Linked DNA regions of Callithrix jacchus. The protein of the gene in region 1 purifies or fractionates together with the protein of each later gene. This does not show direct contact. Links are inferred from orthologs where the notes say so. Each region holds a gene or a part of one and is shown in the gene's direction. Other genes may lie near its edges.

Region 1 (2,455 bases):
ATATTTAGTCCTATTGTCCATGATGTTTTATAGCTGGTTTGTAAAATCAAGCCCCATGCTCTGTATTTGATTGTCTCTGTGGTCTTAAGCCAGACCAGTCTCTTAAAGTGGACTTTTCTGATTGTGTTGCCACTAAACTTGGACCTATATTTGCTGAAAACTGGAACTTAGGCCTCAGGGCCTGAAGAGATTAAATACTTTTGGCAAGAGTATTTCATGGGTCACCCTCAGAATTTCAGCATCTCTTGTACCAAAGATCTACCACAAGGCAGCACGCATCTACGTCTCCAACCCCAGTGCAGTTACAGTGGGACAGTTTCTAGTGTTATGTCATTGCCACCAGGCTTTTAAGTCTTAGCATATTTGTAATATCTATATGTAGATGTAGAACTCTAAATTGTATTTACAGAGAACATTGCATGGTAGCTTTTATGTGGTAGTGATACATTCAGTTTCTTACATTCTAGATCATTCAGGGAGGTTCTGGAGTGGGACAAATTTGGGATTAAGGTTTGGTGGCTAGCGGTGTGACCTTACTCTGTTTCCCATGGGAATTTATAATAGAAGCTACTTCCTAGGACACAGGATCTGGCCCAGGGAAGTGCTCAGTGTTTGTGGAATTAATGATTTTAGCAGCTATTGTGATCATGAAACCAGAAGCACATCAGCTTGAGCCTCCCTCTGTTTTTAGGAGGACCACTCTCTGCGGCACTCTGGACTACCTGCCCCCCGAAATGATTGAAGGTCGGATGCATGATGAGAAGGTGGATCTCTGGAGCCTTGGAGTTCTTTGCTATGAGTTTTTAGTTGGGAAGCCTCCTTTTGAGGCAAACACATACCAGGAGACCTACAAAAGGATATCACGGGTAAGATGTCACTGAAAAGGACCCAGCACTTCTGCTGGAATTCTTTTCTTATCAGCCTGAACTTCAGGCCAAGATCTGAATATCTATACTATTTGATCTCTCTAACTTGTGTTTTGTGATATTTTATCATTTGCTGTATTCCAGGTTGAATTCACATTCCCTGACTTTGTAACAGAGGGAGCCAGGGACTTCATTTCAAGACTGTTGAAGCATAATCCCAGCCAGAGGCCAATACTCAGAGAAGTACTTGAACACCCCTGGATCACAGCAAATTCATCAAAACCATCAAATTCCCAAAACAAAGAATCAACTAGCAAACAGTCTTAGGAATCGTGCGGGGGGAGAAATCCTTGAGCCCAGGGCTGCTGCACAACCTGTCAGGAACATGCCGCTGACATTTATCTTATTGTTGACTGCTGCCCTCAATTTAGGACGCTACAAGAAATATTTGTTTTACTAAGCAGGTGCCTTAACCGCCCTATTCAGAAAGCTCCATGTCAATAAACATGACACTCTGAAGTGAAGGTAGCCACAAGAATTGTGCTACTTACACTGGTTTGTAATCTGGAGGGCAAGGTTTGACTGCAGCCACCCCCTCAGCCTGTGCCAGGCATGGTGTCCTCACAGGAGACAAATCCAGAGTCTGGCTGTGGGGAAAGTGAACACTTTGCCCTGACTCGATCAGTTAAGGAGCTGTGCAATAACCTTCCATGTACCTGAGTGAGTGTGTAACTTATTGGGTTGGCCAAGCCTGGTAAAGCTGTTAGAATGAGTATGTGATTCTTTTTAAGTGTGAAAATAAAGATATTTGTACAGACTTGTATTTTTTCCCTGGTGGCATTTCCTTAGGAATGCTGTGTGTGTTCAGCACTCCGGAAGGCCTGGTTGGGTTTCTAGTCCTTAACCACTTATCTCCCTTATGAGTGTGTGTAAAATAGGAACACGTGCTCTACCTCCAATTAGGAACTTGCCTGGGATACAGAAGGGGCCATGTGTCTCAGAGCTGTTAAGGGCTTATTTTTTAAAAACCACTGGAGTTTTAAAATGGCATATGTGGAAACTTTATGCAAATAAATAAGTATCTATGTCTGTTGGAGTACTGTGTAGTTCTTCCCATCACCTGTTTGTTGTTGGCCTAGAAATGAGCAGGTGCTGAGAGAAGCAGGCCTCGCTGCCCTCTTCTGGTCTCTCCCTGTTGGGTGTACTCCTAATACTTCATTATATATATTGTTTACATATTTGTTATATATTGTCATCTGTCCATTGACTAAAGATAATGGTGCACATGACCACGAGGAGGGAATGGTGGAAGTGCTGGAACTTGGAGCTAGTAGAGGAAATCTGCTTGCATGGCCAATGCTCTGTGCAGGAAACTAGACAGCAGGTATGTTAGGATATATCATAACCAAGTGGCTGAGATAGAGAACCTTAAAAACACAACTGAGTAAAACTGCAGTTGCCAACCCCCTTGGGACAAAGGAGCTGAGCTGACTTTGACATTCCCAAATAGTTCGTGTGCCACCCTCCCAAACTATAGTTACTATCACGTGACCAACTTCCCCAGTGATACCAGCGAAACTTGGGACGTT
Region 2 (3,500 bases), on another chromosome or scaffold:
ATAAAAAAATTAAAATTAGGCCAGGCGCGGTGGCTCACGCCTATAATCCCAGCACTTTGGGAGGCCAAGGCGGGTGGATCACGAGGTCAAGAGATCGAAACCATCCTGGTCAACAATGTGAAACCCCGTCTCTACTAAAAATACAAAAATTAGCTGGGCATGGTGGTGCACGCCTGTAGTCCCAGCTACTCGGGAGGCTGAGGCAGGAGAATTGCCTGAACCCAGGTGGTGGAGGTTGCAGTGAGCCGAGATCGTGCCATTGCACTCCAGCCTGGGTAACAACAGTGAAACTCCGTCTCAAAAAAAAAAAAATTTTTTTTAAAGAAAAAATAAGGAGTGTTGGGGGTGGCAGTTTTAAGTAAACAGGAAAGGCCTCACTGGGAAAATATTTGAGCAGAGTTGAAGCAAGTGAGACAGGTAGATATTGGGACGAATGTTCCAGTCATAACAGCCTGTACATGTAAAGGCCATGAGACCAGGAGTTCAAGACCAGCTTAGGCAACATAGTGAGATCCCCATCTCTACACAAAATTTAAAAATAGCCAAGCATGGTGGTACACACCCATAGTCCTAGCTACGCAGGAGGCTGAGGCAGGAGGATCACTTGAGCCCAAGAGTTGGAGACTGCAGGATCGTGCTACTACACTCCAGCTTAGATGACAGAGACATTGTCTGTTAAAAAAGAAGAAAGAAAAAGAAAAGAGAGAAAGACAATGTGGATTATAAGAGACAGAATAAGAGAGGTAAATGAAAGATGATCCCAAGGTTGGGGCCTGAGCAACGGAAAAAATTACTGAAACGGAAGGTTCTAGGAGGAGCAGGTTTGTGGGGAGGAAATGAGTTGTCAGCACGTTAACTTTGAAATACCCACCAGACATCTATACAGAGATGTAGAGCAGTCACATGTGCAATTTGGAAGTTTCAGAGAAAGGTTCAGGGCCAGGCAATCTCAGCACTTTGGGAGGCCGAAGCAGGAGGATTGCCTGAGGCCAGGGGTTTGAGACCAGCCTAGGTAACATAGTGAGAGTCCACCTCTACCAAAAAAAAAAAAAAAAAAACAAGCTCGGTGCTTTGGCTCACGCCTGTAATCCCAACACTTTGGGAGGCTGAGGTGGGTGGATCACTTGAGGTCAGGAATTTGAGACCACCCTGGTCAACCTGGCAAAACCCCATCACTACTAAAAATGCAAAAATTAACCAGGCATGGTGGTGGGCACCTGTAATCCCAGCTACTCAGGAGGCTGAGGCAGGAGAATTGCTTGAACGCAGGAGGCAGAGGTTGCAGTGAGCTGAGGTCACACCACTGCACTCCAGCCCAGGAGACAGAGCAAGACTTCGTCTCATAAAAAACCCAAAAAAACAGAGAGAAAGGTTCCAGCTGGAGATACGTATCTGGAAGTTGTTTCTGAATGGTGTTGAAAGTCAGGAGGCCAGATGGGCTGTTTGAAATGTCCATGGCGCTCCCTGCAGTGGGTGAGCACTCAGCCAGCTTCCTGACTGTCCCATATCCTTCAAGCTAGGGGATGATGATGTGCCAGATGGCTCGGCCTTCCATGCCAAGCGCAGCTACCAGCCCCACGGCCGCTGGGCAGAACGGGCCGACCAGGAGCCACTCAAGACCATTCTTGATGCCCAGGACCTGGATTGCTACTTTACCCCCATGAAGCCCGAGAATCTGGAGAACTCCGTTCTGGATTCACTGGAGCCACAGAGCCTGGCTGGCCTGCTGAGTGAGGTGTGCACTTCCACCCCAGCCTGGCCAGCAGTCCCTGTACCATGACGGCCCCAGGGCCTGGGGCCTCAGCCTGACTCCCACTCCATGGGGGAAGGGAGGATTACATGAGATGGTGAAGGGCAGAAGGGTGAGCCCCAGGTCTGGTGCACAGCAAGACTTACCAGGGCAGACAGGAGTCTTTGGAAAGTGGGTCACTTCGGGGTTAAGAGCTTAGATGCTAGAGAAGGCTTATACCCAAGTGGGGTACATTTGGGTGGATCGACCACTGGCCGTACCCATTCCCGGTTTTGTGACCTGGAGTAAGAGACTTAACCTCTCTGGGCTTCAGTTTTTTAAAAGTAGTCATAATGGGGTCAGGCAGGGGCAGTGGGTAACACCTGTAATCCCAGCATTTGGGGAGACCAAGGCAGGAGGATCATTTAAAGATCACTTGAGGAGTTCAAGGCCAGCCAGGGCAACATAGCAAGGTCCCACCTCTACAAAAATATTTTTAAAATGTGTTTGTTTTGGTTTTTTTTTTCTTATAAAAAATTTTGTTTAGGGCCAGGTGCAGTGGCTCATGCCTGTAATCCCAACACTTTGGGAGACCAATGCAGGTGGATCACGAGATCAGGAGTTTGAGACCATCCTGGCCAACTTGGTCAAACCCTGTCTCTACTAAAAATACAAAAATTAGCTGGGCATGGTGGCACACACCTGTAATCCCAGCAACTCGGGAGGCTGAGGCAGGAGAATTGCTTGAACTGGGACCCGGGAAATGGAGGCTGCAGTGAGCCGAGATCATGCCATTGCACTCCAGCCTAGGCTACAGAGCAAGACTCCGTCTTAAAAAAAAAATGTTTTTGAATGGTGATAACAATCTCTTCTGCCCCAGAGGGCTTTACAGGAATCCATGCTAAGTATAGGCCTGGGCTCTTAAAGGTTGCTTTAGCTCTTTAGCTACTTTAGCTCTTATTATACTATTTGCCAAACAAAATTCTTTTTATCCTCTTCTATAATTTTTATTTTATTGTGATATAATATATATCCAGTAACATGCACAGATCTTAGGTATATATCTTGATGAACTACTTGTGTCATTCGTATGTGTCCACTACTCTGGGTAGAATCTGGAGTGTTTTCTACCTCCTGGAAACCGGTTTCTTCTGCCCGTCCTCATCAGGTCCTCCCACCAAGATAACCAGTGTTCTGACCTCTCACCACAAACTGGGCTTCCTATTCTTGAACTTCATACAAATAGACCCGTAGAGGGTTGGGCCTCCTATTTTTGGTGCCACACCTCTTCCTTATCTGTAAAGGGACTGATAGTGCAGGGGCAGCCCAGGACAAGCTGGTCTCGAGCAGAATGTGTGGCACAGGCCCTGGGTCACAGCCTCCAGCAGCAGGTCTGCCAGCATGGTTCCTGGCACACCATTGGTGGCCCCAGGTGCCATGGCTGGCTCAGAATGTCTGTGCTATTTTCCCCATAGTCAGATAGTCCCCAGGAGGCTGGCTGTGGGCACCCCTCCTTCCTGCCCCAACAGAGGGAATCATCGAATGAAGCCAGTGAGCTCATCCTCTACACCCTGGAGGCAGAAGTGACAGTCACAGGGACAGACAGGTGGGTGTCCTTTCCTCGAAGGGAAACTTAGTTGGAGGAAGCCCCAGCTGATAGGTGCACCCTGGAAGAACTGCTCTCTGCCTTCCCACTGGGCTTGTGGGAGTGGGGACAGTTGATGTGGGGATGGGGATGGAGTCAGGCCTTAGTTCCCTGGTTCCAGGTGGG
Region 3 (3,500 bases), on another chromosome or scaffold:
TTAGGCCTCACTGCTTATCCCTTGTTGCTGAAGACATTCTGTTCTTCCCCTTTAAGAAGAGAGTGAATTCACTCCTTTTCCAGCATCACTTCTTAACACGGTATGGATGAATTCCTTTTGAAGGTTAAAATCATTCCAAGTTTTAGCTTTCAGCATTTTCAAGTCAAAATTTTTTATCAATTAAAATATTTTCTTTTCGAGAAGGATAAAAATCCTGCCAGTTACACATTAAAAAGTATTTTATAGGTTCATTGTGAAGCTTATTTAACTTATGTGAGCCAAGTTGGCATTTTAGACTGTAACTGAACTGAAACATGAATTATGGAAAATCAGTGTGTAAAGTTGAGATTTTATGAAGTATTTTCTGCATTTTGTTTAGACCAGCATGTTTTGGAAATTTGATCTTCACTCATCATCCCACATAGACACACTTCTAGAAAGAGAAGATGTAACACTGAAGGAGTTAATGGATGAGGAAGATGTTTTACAAGAATGTAAAGCTCAGAACCGCAAACTTATAGAGTTTCTGTTAAAAGCAGAATGTCTCGAAGATTTAGTCTCATTCATTATAGAAGAACCACCTCAAGACATGGATGAGAAGATCAGATACAAGTAAGACAATTTAATCTTCTCTCTAGGGTGGGACTAAAGTGAGGTGCGGGGTAGGATATTACAGTTCTTGCTCAAGAATTCTCCAGTGCGACTGTCACCATTTACAGAAGGGTAAGATGGTCAAGGACTGGCTCAGTGGAGCACAGAATCCATTCCAGAACTCAGTCCAGGGAATCACAAGAGTTTAGAAATGAGTGTTCTGAATTTCATTCAAAAGTTTTCTGGAAAGGCAGTGTGTTTTGTAAACAATGATGACAAATTTCTCAAAACAGTCAGATGATTAAAATACTTACTTTACAAATAGGAAGGTGGAGATTATATGACTACACAGAATTGCATGGTGGATCCAAGCCAGAGCTTGGGGTTTTGAAGAACGTTGCCTATACAATACAGTCTGACCTTTTATCAACTGAAAGTAAGGGAGTGGGTATTAGTGAACGTCGGTGTAGCTGCTCACACCATGGATAACTACAGTGGATTTTGTTTGCTAGTCTAGTCTGTTTACAAGCAGAACCACAGTGTAGTGAGAATCCTTTATTACCATCACTGTAACACTTTTTATACAAACCCCTGGAAACTCTCCATAGATATGTAAAGTATTGGGGTTTCAATTAAGTATTTCTCCATATCCAACTCTATTAAAATATTTGGCTCTTTTTCCCCCAGAAAATAGAGCAACTTGAGAAACAAAAATTGATGCATTACATAACTTAACGGAATAGGAAGAGTTAGGCTTTCAGTAGTGTCTCTCTTGCCATTTCTTTCCCAGTTTATCGTTCTTGTCAGGACATCTTTTCCTTCCTTCTTGGGGAAAAATGTGCTGTTTGGGAAATAATACTTGTTAATGCTTTCAACTTGCTAGTGGCTTAGATCTTCAAGGATGTCATGTTCTCTGCCAGCCATTAACATTGACACCTAGAATTTAGTGAAAGCCTTCACTCAGAGATTAGAGTCTTAAAAAGAAGGAGGAAGGGCTGTGCACTCTGGCTTATGCCTGTAATACCAGCACTTTGGGAGGACAAGGCAGGTGGATCACCTGAAGTCAGTAGTTCGAGATCAACCTGGCCAACTTGGTAAAACCCCAAGTCTACTAAAAATACAAAAATTAGCTGGGCTTGGTAGCAGGTGCCTGTAATCTCAGCTATTCACGAGTCTGAGGTAGGAGAACTGCTTGAGCCCTGGAGGCAGAGGTTGCTGAGAGCTGAGATTGTGCCACTGCACTCCAGCCTGGGCAACATTTAAAAAAAAAATGGAGGAGGAAAGAAATCTGGTGGCAGACATGCTGGTGTGCTCTCATCCCCCAAACGAGAGACACTTTACTGCTTGGAATTCCCTTCACAGTGAACCAGCATGTGGGTGGTGCTGCTTGCACTGGGGCTTGTCCTCGTTGGAGGGTGTGGTCTGGGTCAAAGAGCACAGTTTTTGGATCAGCCCACCCTCTTCTCTTCCCATCTGAGAGCTTGGGTAGAGAGCTTACCCTTCTTGGGTCTGTTTCCTCACATGCTGAGTGAGGCTAGTAATGGTTTAATCAGAAAAGTAGGCATGCCTTATATGAAGGGCTTACTTTCCCCCAAAGAAGTAGTGGCCCCCCCGTTTTAAACAGTGTGACACTTGTATTATGTTGCTTTGCCAGCATTTTTGCCTTTGAGGTTGCAAGAGCAAATGTGCCTCCCGTGGACCTGGCCTTCTGCACGCACCATTTTGAAGGAGCACTGCTTGAGCTGGATAGTGCAGTGCTCTGCCATGCTTCTGGCCTGAGCAGTCGCCACCTGTGTGTAATGTACCTTGGGTGCGCCACAGCTAGATTAGCATAGAGGGGTTTTTCAGCTGGGACCCGAAAGTGTTTTAGGGTTAGGGTTGACTATAGTCATTTAAGGAAGTTTAGATTGGGATGATGTGGTCATTGCTCTGTTGGGGTGGACCAGGCTAAGAAGCCCACCAATTGTTTGTCAGATAAGGCTTGTGGAGAAAAATGAAGCACGATGAGACAGGGATGCTGAAGGTGGAGGATGGGCAGAGGAGCTCAGGGAAGGCGTCATTAAGATGCTGCCATCTGATCAGAGCCATGCAGGAAATAAGGGGGTTGCCAAGTGGGCACTTGACAACAAGGAACATCCAGGCAGAGGGAACTGCAAGTGTGGAAGCCCTAAAGTGCTCGTGTGCTTGGTGTACCCCAAGAACATCTGGGCATCCAGAGAAAGGGCAGCATCATGAATGAGGGAGAATGGAAGGAGGGAGGGTTGGGGTGGAGTTGGAGTACCTGTAGAGACAGGCCACACAGGGCCTGGTTGGCTCAGCCAGGATGTTTGCTTTACTTGAGACGGGAAGCCACCACAGGGTTTTGAGCAAGTGCCTTGGTCTGACTTTGCTCCCCAGAAGTGCTCTGTTAGCCCCGTGGAGGAGGACAGAGTGGAAGTACAGTTGGCCACAGTGATCAGCACAGAAAAAAGATCTTAGTGGACCTGTTTGGTCAGACACAGTCAGACTCTTGGAGGTACTAGATGAAGTTAGAACGGAAGGGGTTTGCTCTAGGTGTGGAACGGTAGATAAAGTGTCCAGAGTGACTATGAGGATTTTGGCCTGGGCCGTTGAGAGGATGGAGTGGCTTTATGGCAGTGAAGTAAGATTGCAGAGGGAAGGGGCAGGGAATGGCATAATCTCAGCTGACAGCAACCTCTGCCTCCGGGGCTCAAGCAGTTCTCCTTCCTCAGCCTCACGAATAGCTGAGATTACAGGCACCTGCTACCAGGCACAGCTAATTTTTGTATTTTTAGTAGAATCTGGCCCTGTCAAAGGCGAAATGCCTGTTAGAGACATCAGGTGGAGATGAGGCCTCGCAGCAGGTGGGACTGAGGACATATAAAGTCTGAATGAGATCACCTGCAGAG
Region 4 (4,259 bases), on another chromosome or scaffold:
TTGAGCAACAAATATGTATTGCGCACCTGCTACAATTGGATGACATAACAGTCTCCTAACTGATCTCTTAGCTAGAGCTATTGCACCCCCACCCCAGTCCCATACAGCAGCTTCCTTTTACTAATTTTATTTTATTTATTTTTGAGGATCTCGCTCTGTCCCCCAAGCTGGAGTGCAGTGACACGATCTCAGCTCACTGCAACCTCCATTTCCTGGGCTCAAGCGATTCTTCTGCCTCAGCCTCCAGTGTAGCTGGGACCACAAGCACGCACTACTGCCCCCGGCTAAATTTGGTAGTTTTTGTAGCTACAGATAGGATAGAGATCTTTGTCTATTTTGTTCACTAAGTATTCCAAGCGCCTGCAGCTGTACCTGGTACATCTTTGTTGCTCAATAAAGAGCGGTTGAATAAACTACTGAAGGTATGCGGTACTGTTCTCCGTGCTGGAGTCACAGCAGAAAACTCCCTGCCTTCGTGGGATTCTCACTGGAAGTATGCTTAAGCTTAAGCCATTTTCCAATCTTGGCCCCACCATTTGTTCCCTGTGAGATTTGGGGTAAACTACTTAAAGCCTCCAAGTCTCACTTTCCTACCAATTGTTACAAAGATTAAATGGAAAAATAGAATTTGTATCGCATTTAGCATAAGAAATGTTTTTTTTTTTTGAGATGGAGTTTCGCTGTTGTTACCCAGACTGGAGAGCAATGGCATGATCTCGGCTCACCGCAACCTCCGCCTTCTGGGTTCAGGCAATTCTCCTGCCTCAGCCTCCCGAGTAGCTGGGACTACAGGCGCCACCACCATGCCCAGCTAATTTTTGTATTTTTAGTAGAGACGGGGTTTCACCTTGTTGCCCAGGATGGTCTCGATCTCTTGATGTCGTGATTTACCCGCCTCGGCCTCCCAAAGTGCTAGGATTATAGGCGTGAGCCACCGCGCCCGGCCAAGAAATGCTTTAATATTTCTTTATCTTCCTTTCAGGCTGGAGCCTGACATTTGTGCCACAGGCTTAAGCGAGGTTTTCACAGGCACTTGGAAAGATGCAAACAAGTTACTACGGCCAGGCTTACCCAGTTGTTAAGTGAAAGTGAGAGAGTGCTTAAAAGGGTTGGAAGGAGAAACGAGTGAGTGGCTAGGACGACCTACTCCGCCGTTTTGCCTCGGAAAAGCCTCGCCCGCTGCCGGGAGGTGAAAGTCTGGAGGAACTGAAGGGGAGGAAAAGAAAGGGGTGGCTGTCCACAACGGAAAACTACAAATCCCGGCAACACCCGCGGCAGGCGACTACGGGTCCCATCAGAATTCGCAGGCTGGACCGATGGGGGGGCCTCTTGGGGCCTGCAGCCGGGGTTCAGCCAGAGGGGGCGCCGGGCGTACCGAGGTAGCGGGGAGAAGCGGGTCGCGCTTTAACGGCGCTGCGCAGACGCCACTCACGGTCCGGACGTGACGTAGGAGAGTTCCGGCTTCGGCCTCCGCCGCTGCCGCCGCCGCCGCTGCTTTTACAGCCGCCGCCGCCGCCGACCCCGCCGCTGTCGCCGCGGCTTGTTATTCTCAAAATGGCGCCGCTAGACCTAGACAAGTATGTGGAGATAGCGCGGCTGTGCAAATACCTGCCAGAGAACGACCTGAAGGTGAGCCCTGCCGGGGCGGGAGCGCTGCTTACAGGCTCGCCCCTTCCGGCTGTGGGGCGCCCGCCGGCCCGCCCTTCCTCTCTTCGTGGGACCCCCGCCGGGTATCCCGTCTCTCCGCGGTGGAGGGCCCTCTCCGATGCCATGCGACCCGGCCCGACCCGGCGTCACGCCAATGGTTGGGGGAACCAAGTCCCCCAAATGATGTCCTAGTTGCCTCAGTGGGTATCCCAAGGGATTTCGCGGCCTCTACCCCAGGGTCGCCCCTTTTGGCCTTCGGGCTGCCCCAGGACCCGTAGCTGCAACAGCTTTGCTTAGCAGCTTTCCACCCCTTCCCGGGATCTCCGGCATTCACTGCCGAGCCCCCGCGGCAGTGCCCTCGGGATGGGATCGTCCCCGTTGGAGGTGACAGGAGCGCAGAGTGGCCGGCGTCTGACAGGAGTTGCCACAGGCTCTTGCAACGCGGCCCCAGTTTGTTTAGGTCTCTGAGGAAGGGGAAGGCGGTGGGTCCGAGTGGTTTGGTACTGACGAGAGCGAATGTCAGATCGTCCCTCTTCTCTGCCACTCCTCCACCTTCTCCAAATTGCCTTTTAGGACCGTGGGTTTTCTTCTGCTAATTCAGAGGTGAACCCGTTTCTGAGTATTTTGTTGAGCTTACTGAAGTGGAGAAAGTAGTTGGTTCTTAATAAATACAAATACTTTCCCCTTAACCCCTTCTTAACTCAAGATTTCGTTTTCTTGGTTTTCTAAAGAAGACGAGTTCCTCGTTGCCCTTGAGTCCAAGTAAATGTATGTATGGGTAAAGGAATGAGTTTGATATACTGCTTTTCTTTTCAACTTATTATTTATTTATTTATTTTATTTTTCTTTGAGACGGAGTCTCTGCCGCCCAGTCTGAAGTGCAGTGGCTTGATCTCAGCTCACTGAAGCCTCCGCCTCTTGGGTTCAAGCGATTCTCCTGCCTCAGCCTCCTGAGCAGCTGAGATTACAGGCACATGCCACCACGTCTGGCTCATTTTTGTATTTTTAGTAGAGATGGCGTTTCACCATGTTGGCCAGGCTGATCTTGAACTCCTGACCTCGTGATCTGCCCGCCTTGGCCTCCCAAAGTGCTGGTATTACAGATGTGAGCCACCGCTCCCTTCCATCATTATTTTTTATTGAAACAGTCTCACTCTGTCATCCAGGCTGGAGTGCAGTGGCGCGATCTTGGCTCACTGCACCTCTGCCTCCTGGGTTCGAGTGATTCTCCTGCCTCAGCCTCCCGAGTAGGTGGCTGACACCCGGCTGTTTTGTATTTTTAGTAGAGACGGGTTTTTGCCATGTTGGCCAGGCTAGTCTCGAACTCCTGACCTCAATTGGTCCGCCCACCTCAACTTCCCAAAGTGCTGGGATTACAGACGTGAGCCCCCGCACCCGTCCTAGGTATGCTGCTTTTTTGAAAAGTGTTTATGCATTTGGTGAAACCAGTGCTTATTAGGTTTCTAGCAGTGCTTATCAGCTTGTGCTAGTTATTTATCTTAGTGTATTCTTCAAGAAATATATTACTGTGGGTTTTGTTTGTTTCTTCTTTGGTATTGGAAGTTGATACTTAACATAAGTCAACAAGTATGCATAATGTTTGAGGCCACACATGCTGTTGTGAATGTAACTGAATTGTACTTATATGTTAATTTTATGAAGCATATTATAGGGGAGTCATTCTTGTGTATGCTCCCATTTTTAATAGGATAATTTAAAATAAGGATAGAGCCTTCATTAGTAGCAATGTAGCATACATACTCATCAGTCCTTCAGACATTTGTTTTGTGGCTTCTTTCTGCTATGCGTGTTTCTTTTTTCTTTTTTTTGGAATAAGAATACAACTAGCATTGGGATCCAATTCATGGAAAACTAACCAGACCTCTTAGTAGCATTATTAATCCTGTAGGTGAGGTTGACTATTGCATGTCAGTGAATTGATTTGGAATTTTTTCTTTTTATTTATCATGTGTAAAGCTTTTTTAAACTTTGTGTTTATGATAAATAAAATGTTTTTTTTTTTTTTATGATAACGTCTCAGGCATGGCATAATCCCAGCACTTTGGGAGGCCAAGGTGGGCGGATCATCTGAGGTCAGGAGTTCGAAACTAGCCTGATCGACATGGGAAACCCCATCTCTACTAAAAAATGCAAAAATTAGCCTGGCGTGGTGGTGAGTGCCTGTAATCCCAGCTACCTGGGAGGCTGAGGCAGGGTGAATTGCTTGAACCCAGGAGGTGGAGGTTGCAGTGACCCAAGATCAAGCCACTGCACTCCAGCCTGTGTGACAGAGGGAGACTCCATCTCACAAAAAAAAAAAGAATCTGTTGGACTTCTTTGGACCTCTTACTTTGATAAACATTAGATTTCCTTCTTACCTTAATGAAATATAGTTTTTAGACCATTTTATTTCCTATTGAACACAACTGCATTATACTTTGCTTCTATTTGTTTTTCTTTTTTTCTTTTCTTTTTTTTTTTTGAGATGGAATTTCGCTCTTGTTACCCAGGCTGGAGTGCAATGGCACGATCTGGGCTCACCGCAACCTCTGCCTCCTGGGTTCAGGCAATTCTGCCTCAGCCTCCTCAGTAGCTGGGATTGCAGGCACGCG
Region 5 (3,500 bases), about 6.8 Mb from region 1:
AGTCGGTGTGCACTGGCTTGCGTGCCTCTGCCGTGATGGGGCCTTCCTAACCTCTCTTCCCATCTCCTTCCAGGTCCAGGGAGTCAGCAGTAAGGGATGGCGGGATGTCACCACCTTTTTTTCAGGGAAAGCAGAAGGCCCCTTGGACAGGTACACCATGTCCCCATCCCCCGAGCCTGTGTCCCACCCCCTCTCTTGATGGTGGTCGGCTTCCTTGCTGGGCAGTGTGGGGGCGGGGGGCATCGTGGAAAGCTCTTCTAGTGCTCTGCCGCTTCGGGGGCCTGTCTCACCTGTCCCTGCCCTGGCTGTGTGCTTTTTGGAGCAGGAGCTGGGCACCTCAGGCTGGGGTGGGAGGGAGAGTCTTACTCACTGATCAGAGGAGGAGTCGGCGCTGCTCTGCCATTCCTCTGTCTCCCAGACTCTGGGTGGGTGGAGCAGATAGGGGACCAGGGGACAGTAGGGCTGGGACCCCCAAGACCTGTCCTGGGCCCCGGGCTGGGACCCCCAAGACCTGTCCTGGGCCCCGTGTCCAGCTCTGCCCTTGGCACTGGGTGCCCCAGGCATTCCTGCTAGAAGCTGGCTGCTCTTCTCAGTCCCTGACCCCAACAGGAACCACAGGGCTCTCATAGGGCCTGGCCCTGTGCTGTCCACTGAGACGCCAGCCCTTGTGAACACGTATGCTCTGCCCCCAGATGGGCCCAAACTTTCCCTACAGTTGCTACGTCCTTTCCCTCTCTGTGTGTGTATAGGGTTTCAGTGGTATGACTACAACTGAGGGCAGAGGGCAGGGCCTGGTCCAGAGCCGACATGCGGCGGGGGCATCTCTCGGGAGAGCCTGAGTCCCCACGAGGCCAGTGCCCCTCCCCCTCCCCCCTTAACTAAACCACTGATGACATAGCAGGTTAGAGCTGGTAGAAAAAGAAATTTTCTGTAAAAGAGTGGGCCCTGGTTCTCCAGGTCCCTGGCACAGTTTCCTCTGCTCTAAAATGGGAGAACCAGCTCCTGCCTGGCAGGGCTGCTGTGGACCCCGAATGCTGGCCTGGGAAGGCGCCACAGGGCCTGGTGGTCACTGTAGGTGCAGAGCTGTTGGGGGCACGGAATTCTGAGTGGTGGGCTGAGTGACATTCACAGTCCCCCTTCTGTCTCTTTAAAAGCCCCTCTGAGGGCCACAGTTACCAGAACAGCGGTCCAGACCACTTCCAGAACAGCTCCATAGACCAGAGCTTCTGGGAGACCTTCGGGAGCACTGAGTCTGCCAAGGCCCGGAAGTCCCCGAGCAGCGACAGCTGGACCTGCGCGGACACCTCCACGGAGAGGAGGAGCTCCGACAGCTGGGAGGTGTGGGGCTCAGCCTCCACCAACAGGAACAGCAACAGTGATGGTGGGGAGGGTGGGGAGGGCGCCAAGAAGGCGGTGCCGCCGGCTGTGCCTGCCGACGATGGCTGGGACAACCAGAACTGGTAGGGCCACCGCAGCCCCGTCCCCAGCGCTCTGGGTGACTTCGTGTTTGCACTCTGCCCTCGTTCTCCTTCCCTTTGACCCAAGAAGCAGTGACCGCAGTGTGAGGACAGCATCTTGGGAGGCAGGACTCTGGGGAGACGGGTTCGTGCCACCTGTCCACCGTGGGGTCTCGGTGCGTGGGACGGCTTGCTCTCCATCCCCTGCGGGGGGCTGTCCCATCCCACACTCCTTGGGCATTCTTGGACTCCAGCAGGGGCCCGGTGTGGCTTACTGGGAGGTGGGCTGCGGCACGGACCCTCACAACTGTGTTCCGGTGGCTGGTTTGACACATTTTCTCCAGGGTCAGGGACCAGTCACGTGCCATGCTGTCAGCGATGAAAGGAGCCGAGTCTCGTGGAGATGTTTAACTCTGGGTTTGCTCTAGTTCTTTCTTTGAAGAAAGTGACTGCAGTGGTAAAGACGGCAATGCTGAAGGAGACACTGGCGCTCACACTGCCACTGACCACCCTTGCTCCTGTGTCCACGCCTGCCTGGGCCCATGTCGTTACCCCGAGTGGCTTCCCTGCATCGGCCTCGTCCAGCCGCCACATTCACTGGACACACCTCCCAACGGCCATGCCTGAGCTGTTCTCAGTGCTGAAACTTGACTATTCTGGAATGCCCTGTTAAGACAAAGGAGTGCGGGGGGCCGGGTGGGCCCTCAGCCCCGGTGCAGTGGGGTGCGACAGTAGGAGGGGCTGAGCTAGAGTCACCTGTGTGCAGTGCCTGGGTCTGGAGAAGGTCCAGCTTCTCGTCAGCCCCCAGCATGCAGCTGTGCTCATGTCCCTCTGACACCCCCCTCTGGCTTCTCTGTCATTTGAGTCTGGTTGGCTGCCTGGAGCCTGGCTGGCTTGAACCTGTTGGATGGGGCTGCCCTGCAGCCTGGTGCCCACCCCATGCTGACCTTCCCCAAGTACTGGATGACATGCCGCTGCATGTGACTCAGTCTCTCTCATCTGCTGTGTGTGACCCTCTGTCTTGGCCAGCTGTGCATGTGCTGGAAGCTCGTGCAGTGTGTGAGGTGCTCTCCCCTGCCGCCATGCTCCTCACTATGGCCTCAGCCATGCTCCCTGATCACCCCACTTTCCAGCCGCCATCCGCAGCGCTCCTGGAGCAGCCTGGCCCTTTAGCCCTGCGCACGTCCCACCTCAGGGAGTCGGCCACCTGCAGAACAGGATGGGTCCTAGATTTCAGGGAGCCCTCCTGGCACCCGCTCCTCCCTGTGGGCACCAACCCCCTTGGTAGCCAACCTGGAGGGCCTGTGCCTTTGGCTGCCACAGACTTGGTCACCAAAGCAGCCACCTGCTATAGTTGGACCTGGGGTCAGAGGCTTGGGGTGCTGAGAGGCCTCAGGGCAAAGTGGCCAACACAGAGGTCACAGGAAGTCAGTCTTGGAGAGCGGAGCATGAGGTCTTGGAATGTCTTTCCTGAGCTGAGACTTGGGTGGCCTTGCGATTTTCCCCAAGGGCTGCTTGGATCCTGGTGGGCTGAGTGCTCTGAGGAGGGGTGCATTCCATCCTGGAACCCAAACTCTATCCCCCCACCCCCTGGGAAGGTGCCTTGCTTGGGGGCAGGGTGACAGTCCCTTCTAATGGAAAGTGCTGTCAGTGTTGGGAGGGGTTGGGGCCACCTTCGGAACGGGATGTGGTGGCCAAGACACCTCCACAGAGGGTGAGGGCCTTTCCCTTCTGCAGGTGTGGGCAGGTGTCCCAGGACCTGTGGGCGCTGGGGCCTCGCCTGGCTGTGTGAGGGCCCATGTGGAAGGCACAGACTTGACAGCTTTCCAATAAAGCACATGGGAGCACGAGGAATGTCTGGGTGCATCCCAAGGGGCCACTTTCAGTGTGGTGTTAGTAGGGTCATGGGATCCCCAGGGAGCGGCGGTGGAGCACTGGGCTCCCTCATTTCTCCTGGTCCCTTGCTGCACCCAGCCTTCCTGGGGAGTCCTTGGCTTCACCCCATCTGAGCCAGACCTGGCAAGTAGGCAGTTGGGTGACCCA
Region 6 (2,710 bases), on another chromosome or scaffold:
GGTCATGTTGCAGCAGTCCGCTGTGTTCAATATGATGGCAGGAGGGTTGTTAGTGGAGCATATGATTTTATGGTAAAGGTGTGGGATCCAGAGACTGAAACCTGTCTACACACGTTGCAGGGGCATACTAATAGAGTCTATTCATTACAGGTAAGAGATCTTTATCTGTCTCTTAGATGCTCTCCTGATGAATCATAAGGTTGTTTTACCCAGATAATAACTGTCAAATTGCTGATCCAATATAGTCCAAAAAAAGATTAAACAGATTATTCTGCTGTTTATATACACTTTAAAATTGGCATGAAGAAAGTATAAATTTCAAAATTATTTAAATGCTTTCAACTTTCTGTAATCTATTTTCCCTGTGAAATACAAATATTTGTCTTGCAACCTGACACTTTGGGACTCTTGCTATGTTAATTAATGGCTAAATAGTCTCATAGGAGAGTAACCTGGATTTTAAGAAACTCCTTTGCCAGAGGATTAATATGGCCAAAACTGCCCCTTTGCTTTGATAGCTAAAAGTTGATGGACCATGTAATTGTGATTCCATCCCCGTTCAGAGTGGAAATAGATCCTTTCTACATAAAGCACGCTGCTATCCCAGAGGCACTGATTTGTAGTCATAAAGAAGTAAAGTTGACTAAGCTGATTTTTTTTTTTTTTGGTTTACATTTCAAGCCAGTATCCTTAAAAACATTGCCGTATTTTAAGATCGTTAACTAGATGAATAGAAGGTTTAGAATATGAATCTTGTTTTATTTCCAGAAAGGCAACATTTTCAATTTTTAAATATTTTCTGTAGCTTATATAGTTTATTTGCCAGTTACTGCCCATTAATGTTCAGCAAATTAGTACATAATCTTAGTACTGACAGTTCTTTTCTTAGGATATTTGTTTGTTTGTCGAAGGGATATTGTCCGTGTCAGGAAATACGGGCAATATGATAAAGATGTTTGCTAAATTAGAAAAGGTGATGAATTTGGTGGAAGGGGAATTGGCTGCAACTGTTTGTATGTTTTGTGATATGCTCAGAAGGCTAATCAATATAATATTCTAATTTAAATAACCTATTTGACTGAGAAAAGAGGTAGCCACATTATTATATAGAAATGATAGATTGTTATTGGCTTTTGGTGTAGCTGGGAAGCTGGAGAAGAGGTAGTTTGTAGTGTGCTTTTGATGTCAAAATGCCACCTCTTCTGATTCCAGATATAATTATCTTTTGGCACATTTCCTAATTAACATTAGGTTCTTATAAGTGAAATTTTATTTTACACACAGTTTTTAATGGAACTTACTTTTGAACATCACAAAAGTTATCTCTAGCCCTTTTCATGCCTTAGGTGCTAATAAGCACTCCATTTATCATAAGCTATGTCATTAGTTTCAACTTCCTAGTGGGAAGTAAAACTCAAATAACAGTTCTGTCAATCACATGGTATATAGCTAAGTGGGGACAGATGATTTGAAAATTAATATATTGTTCGTTTTAGGTGCTTTGTTTTCATTTTAAGTTGTTTCTGCATCTAGTTTGAAGCTGCTGGGTGTAAAGATGAGCATTTCTGATAGAAGTGTCTGAGAACATACATTGTAGAGTTGCTTGATGACATGCACTTTATTCTCATTGCCAGTTTATCCTAGCACCTCATTTTGTTCCTGGCATTACCTGTTTCCCATGCTCTTCCCCCATTCCTGCTAGGATTAAGGTCAGTAATTAATAGGAAAAGTATCCTTACTTCTATTCTAATAAACTGTGTCTGTTGTAGTTTGATGGTATCCATGTGGTCAGTGGATCTCTTGATACATCAATCCGAGTTTGGGATGTGGAGACAGGGAATTGCATTCACACGTTAACAGGGCATCAGTCGTTAACAAGTGGAATGGAACTCAAAGACAATATTCTTGTCTCTGGGAATGCAGATTCTACAGTTAAAATCTGGGATATCAAAACAGGACAGTGTTTACAAACATTGCAAGGTAAGTGTTGGTTACTTACCTTTAGTTTTGTTCATTGAAAATGAAATTGTTATTTAAGAGAAATAGGGAGCTTTAGCATTACAAAAATAGCCAACCTCATACAGAATACTTACTTCAGAAAAGTTTATGAATATTTTTACCCTGACTTACAGAACTAGTCTACTCTTGAGATGTTTTAAACTGTGTTTTTAATATGTAATATAAAATTGTTTAATCACTTCCTGCATGTTCAGTTGACTCTACTTAACCTTAAAGAACAGTGAGAAGAAAGATCTGGCTGTATTATAGAAGCAACTTACTCATTATAATTTTTGATTGACCATTGCATTTTTAATTTGTTCAATTTTAAAGGGCTACCTTATTGGGAAAAAAAGCATCCCTGATAGAAAATTGCTTTGGCCTCCATTTAGTCACATGCTTACCTGGAATGGAGAGGAATAATAGTACCTACTAAAATAGAGAAAGAGACAAGTGAAAATCACTAATATTAGATGAGGTATAACAGTGTCTCATGATCAACTTTTTCTATTTGGTGTAGCCCTTAGAAAGTGGTTTTTTTTTTTTTTTTTTTTTTTTTTCTTTGGTGGGGCCATCTGATAGGCAACATTGCAGCTTTTTACTCATTGGTTTTGTCTTGCCTCAGAGTTTTGGAATAGTGTACATTCAGCTTTGACTGGTTCATATTGGTGAGGGTAATAGATCTCTTAGTGCTTATTTGTCCATCAGCAGA
Region 7 (3,500 bases), on another chromosome or scaffold:
AGGAATATAACATTCTTTGAGTTCTGTTCGGTGCCAGTTTTCACTTTGCAGCTAGAGCTGATGGTATCATCCCCCCATTTCATTGAAGATATCGTGACATCTTGACTTTTTATATGGGTTCTTTTTTACTTTGATAATTCCAATTAGCAGCTTGCATTTTACATCATCAGGTTGTATTTTCAAGGCTTTGATATTGTCTGAACTGTTTCTTCTCATTCATAAGGAATTTGCACAGTTACATACATTATTTTTTGTCCTCTACATCTTATATTCAGAAGTATTTACCATCCTTGCCCCTGCTCCCAAGTTGCCAGTTTCCATGGCTGTTATAATACTCTTTATAACATAGATGGGTCGAAAAACTCTAGAGCCCTTATAATTAATTGATGACCGTATAATTAATTAATTTGAAGAACATTTAACTGAGGATATGTTAATATGCCTTGAATGAATTCCAGCAGTGATCATTTATAGATAAGTGTCCTAATATTTTCTGCTAAAGGTCAGCAACTGTAATCTGTATCGCCTTGGAAAAAAGAAGGGACTGCCCAGCCGCATGGTGGTGTCAATATTTGATCCCCCTGTGAATTGGCTTCCTCCTGGTTATGTAGTAAATCAAGACAAAAGCAACACAGATAAATGGGAAAAAGATGAAATGGTAAGGTTTTTTTTGTGTGTGTAACTAGAGGGATTTACTTTTTGGTGAGCCAGAGAATTTTGTTTTATTAACTTTTTGTTTCCTTTTCTTGGTATGTTTATAATAGATATTTGATATATTCAATTAATTCCTTCAAATATACTGTCTTTTCACAGAATTCAGAAATAGTGTTATAATTTTGATGAGGAATTATTTATTATTTTTATTATTTATTTTCCAAAGGCATAAGAGTATGTGATTATTTATTTTCCGAAGGCATAACAGTATGTGATGTTTTGACTTTGGGTTTTGCTGTTTTTTTTTTTTAATTTGCTTTGCTGTTATTTATTACAACTTATCCTAGATCCTTAGCTCTGTTCAGTGAAATAAATGACTTTTCAGTGACCTGTTATCTCCAGTCTGTCTGTGAAATAATTCATTTCAATTTATCTTGAATCTTGCTTTTGTAGCTCAGGGTTTTCCCAGTCAGGACTCCTGTGAACTTAAAAAAAAAATCATTCATAAAGATTATTATTTTCTGGAAATAATTTAAATCTTGCTGGTGACTTAAGACTCCAAGTGTCAGCAACAGCTGCTTCATTTTGTCTTGTCTTGAAGGCCACCAGAGGGCACCTGGGAGGGCCTCTGAGCTGCAGGAGTCAATGCGGTGGTGGTTGTTGACTGGGAGAGTTCTGGTGCCTCTTCCAAAGTTAAAGGCAATGCTTCAGACACTTTAATTTCCTGGAGATTTATTTTGCATGAAAGATAAATTGGCTCATTATTACTTCATTTTTACTTCAGGCCAACAATGATAACACCATTTGTTTCTTTCACTGGTTATATTTTCTGAATATACATTTTCTTCATGCCTACTTTCTGACACATGTATCCTATATATCTGCCTTTAAGTATTTCCAGGTAGCATGTTCTGTGACACTATTCTGATTTTTACCTGTTTATTGAGGATATTTTTAACTCATGTAGTATTTGTCTTATTACAAAATTAGAACTTATTTGGAAAAGCATTAAGGGAATATTTTAATGCAAGTTAGGTCAGAACAATTATTTGTTATTAATTTAGAAATAAGTAAAACCTTAGAGGAAAATGTATAGATTTTGAGCTTTGGAAATAGTATTTTATTTCTATAAATAACATGCCAGTAGTAGTCATCCTTCTTTGTTAATACCTTTCATAACATATTTGGCTCTTTTAAAAACGTGTAGCATAAAGGTGACATTGGCATGCCATGTTGATTTTTTTTTTTTTTTTTTTTTAAGATACAACACAGTTCAATTTATTTTTCTTAATGTTTCTCTTGGCACTTTGGTTATTGGAATTCATTAGAAATACTGTTTGGATTTTTACTTATTGAACTTATTTTTATTGAAATATAGGCCCTTGCATTATATTGAAAAGATACACCGTGGTTTTGGCTGGTTGCGTTGCTGATCTTCCTGCTTTTCTCTGGCCCTTCAGCAAATGGGCTTAACTGAAACCTTTGCATGCTAAAACTTAGCCTCTTACTGGAAGAGAGTGTCAAAGTTGACTTGAACTGTCAGAGAAAAGGATTTCATGCGCTATTTTTTCTTAAAAGGCTTGAAGTGCTCTTGAAAAACATTTTATGAGATAGAACCCCATTCTTTTGTAGGTGAAGAATCTGAAACCCAGAGGCACTAAAAGGCTCTGCCCAGGATCACACAGTTTGGGATAAAAGTCAGCCCTTTGTGATTTTTGTGCTCTGCCACTTTTGGCTTATGGTAGCACCTTTGTAAAGATACAGAAGTTTTTTTTTTTTTTTTTTTCCCAATTAAAAAACATACTGTCTTATTTTTTAAAAATTGCAATTTAGCCCTTTTTTGTCTTAAGGACCAAACAGTAATCAAAAGCATCTTCATGTTGCCTTGGAAAAGCATAAGACTTTTAGCAGAAAATAGTTCCTTGAGGTCTGCCACTGCAGTTTCTTTTGGTATTCTTCCTTGTTCTTGAAAAGTGTTTTTTTCTTAATTAAAACAATGAAAAGATATAGATATGGCTTGACTTACTGCTATTTCTTTTCAGACAAATACAGTGTTTATATCTCTTTTGAGTCTGGTTTAAAATGAAATATTTGTAGTATTTAAAAAATGCTTGAAGGCTGTAACTTTTTTTGTCAGAACATTCTGGAAAGTTGTTACAATCAACATTGACAGACACCCTTCGCCTTCCCCCACCTCTGCCCAAAAGTAAAGGTTTTTGTTTTTTTAAAAAAGTTGCATAACAGAAATTTGGCATCTTTCTAGGATTGCAAAAAAGTTACATCATTACTAAAATCGAGCCCATTATTAAGATTGTCACTCACAAATAAGCTTTTGCCAAAGAAATTGGAATTAGCAAAGATCTTTTGACAGAAATTGGATTGTTGTGTTGCATGTTAGTCTAAATTTTCTTCTGTTTTTGTCAGTTATGCTATAATCTGTTCCCTTGATTACTGTAGCTCAGAGTGGAGAGGAAAAGCATAATTTCTCAAATTCATAGCTTAGCATAGTGATCACTTTTATTTTTTAAGCAAAGCAATGTAGTTTTTTTATTGTAGCAAGTTTACTTTGAAGTAGAAATAGGGACAAAAGCTTTATTATAAAATCCTACTGTACATTTTAATGTTTTAAAAATATTACCTGGTTTTATATTCTTAATTGCAAAGGAAATGCTTTTCTACATCCAGAATTTCATTTTATTAATTTGAAAATCTTTTTGAAAATCAAATTACCACATTTTCAAACTTTGTCAGCAAAATTGAAGCTATCTGTGATCAGTTTATGAGTGCTTTCATTGTGTGTCCTGCTGGAGTTAGACTTCTTAGTTGAAATTTTGCATTGTGGACAT

What was found.
Region 2: the proteins of AURKA (region 1) and WDR62 purify together in Homo sapiens (affinity purification with mass spectrometry; 3 studies listed by BioGRID and IntAct, counting the BioPlex papers as one, with this or other methods). This does not show direct contact. The link is inferred for Callithrix jacchus from reciprocal best matches to the Homo sapiens genes AURKA and WDR62.
Region 3: the proteins of AURKA (region 1) and PPP6R3 purify together in Homo sapiens (affinity purification with mass spectrometry; 6 studies listed by BioGRID and IntAct, counting the BioPlex papers as one, with this or other methods). This does not show direct contact. The link is inferred for Callithrix jacchus from reciprocal best matches to the Homo sapiens genes AURKA and PPP6R3.
Region 4: the proteins of AURKA (region 1) and PPP6C purify together in Homo sapiens (affinity purification with mass spectrometry; 4 studies listed by BioGRID and IntAct, with this or other methods). This does not show direct contact. The link is inferred for Callithrix jacchus from reciprocal best matches to the Homo sapiens genes AURKA and PPP6C.
Region 5: the proteins of AURKA (region 1) and ARFGAP1 purify together in Homo sapiens (affinity purification with mass spectrometry; 3 studies listed by BioGRID and IntAct, counting the BioPlex papers as one, with this or other methods). This does not show direct contact. The link is inferred for Callithrix jacchus from reciprocal best matches to the Homo sapiens genes AURKA and ARFGAP1.
Region 6: the proteins of AURKA (region 1) and FBXW7 purify together in Homo sapiens (affinity purification with western blotting; 5 studies listed by BioGRID). This does not show direct contact. The link is inferred for Callithrix jacchus from reciprocal best matches to the Homo sapiens genes AURKA and FBXW7.
Region 7: the proteins of AURKA (region 1) and DICER1 purify together in Homo sapiens (affinity purification with mass spectrometry; 4 studies listed by BioGRID and IntAct, counting the BioPlex papers as one, with this or other methods). This does not show direct contact. The link is inferred for Callithrix jacchus from reciprocal best matches to the Homo sapiens genes AURKA and DICER1.

The regions. Positions count from the first base shown.
Region 1 is NC_133506.1:52,021,421-52,023,875, reverse strand, and holds the end of AURKA (aurora kinase A), read left to right. Parts: intron 1-691; coding exon 692-866; intron 867-1,010; coding exon 1,011-1,193; 3' UTR 1,194-1,955; downstream 1,956-2,455. UniProt on the Homo sapiens protein: Mitotic serine/threonine kinase that contributes to the regulation of cell cycle progression.
Region 2 is NC_133523.1:32,243,657-32,247,156, forward strand, and holds part of WDR62 (WD repeat-containing protein 62), read left to right. Parts: intron 1-1,516; coding exon 1,517-1,735; intron 1,736-3,204; coding exon 3,205-3,335; intron 3,336-3,500. UniProt on the Homo sapiens protein: Required for cerebral cortical development. Plays a role in neuronal proliferation and migration.
Region 3 is NC_133511.1:125,411,353-125,414,852, forward strand, and holds part of PPP6R3 (serine/threonine-protein phosphatase 6 regulatory subunit 3), read left to right. Parts: intron 1-379; 5' UTR 380-385; coding exon 386-612; intron 613-3,500.
Region 4 is NC_133502.1:173,787,365-173,791,623, reverse strand, and holds the start of PPP6C (serine/threonine-protein phosphatase 6 catalytic subunit), read left to right. Parts: upstream 1-1,459; 5' UTR 1,460-1,554; coding exon 1,555-1,629; exon of another isoform or gene 1,630-1,847; intron 1,848-4,259.
Region 5 is NC_133506.1:58,775,968-58,779,467, forward strand, and holds the end of ARFGAP1 (ADP-ribosylation factor GTPase-activating protein 1), read left to right. Parts: intron 1-73; coding exon 74-150; intron 151-1,154; coding exon 1,155-1,464; 3' UTR 1,465-3,307; downstream 3,308-3,500. UniProt on the Homo sapiens protein: GTPase-activating protein (GAP) for the ADP ribosylation factor 1 (ARF1). Involved in membrane trafficking and /or vesicle transport.
Region 6 is NC_133504.1:44,390,282-44,392,991, forward strand, and holds part of FBXW7 (F-box/WD repeat-containing protein 7), read left to right. Parts: coding exon 1-150; intron 151-1,769; coding exon 1,770-1,980; intron 1,981-2,710. UniProt on the Homo sapiens protein: Substrate recognition component of a SCF (SKP1-CUL1-F-box protein) E3 ubiquitin-protein ligase complex which mediates the ubiquitination and subsequent proteasomal degradation of target proteins.
Region 7 is NC_133509.1:129,913,550-129,917,049, reverse strand, and holds part of DICER1 (endoribonuclease Dicer), read left to right. Parts: intron 1-502; coding exon 503-658; intron 659-3,500. UniProt on the Homo sapiens protein: Double-stranded RNA (dsRNA) endoribonuclease playing a central role in short dsRNA-mediated post-transcriptional gene silencing.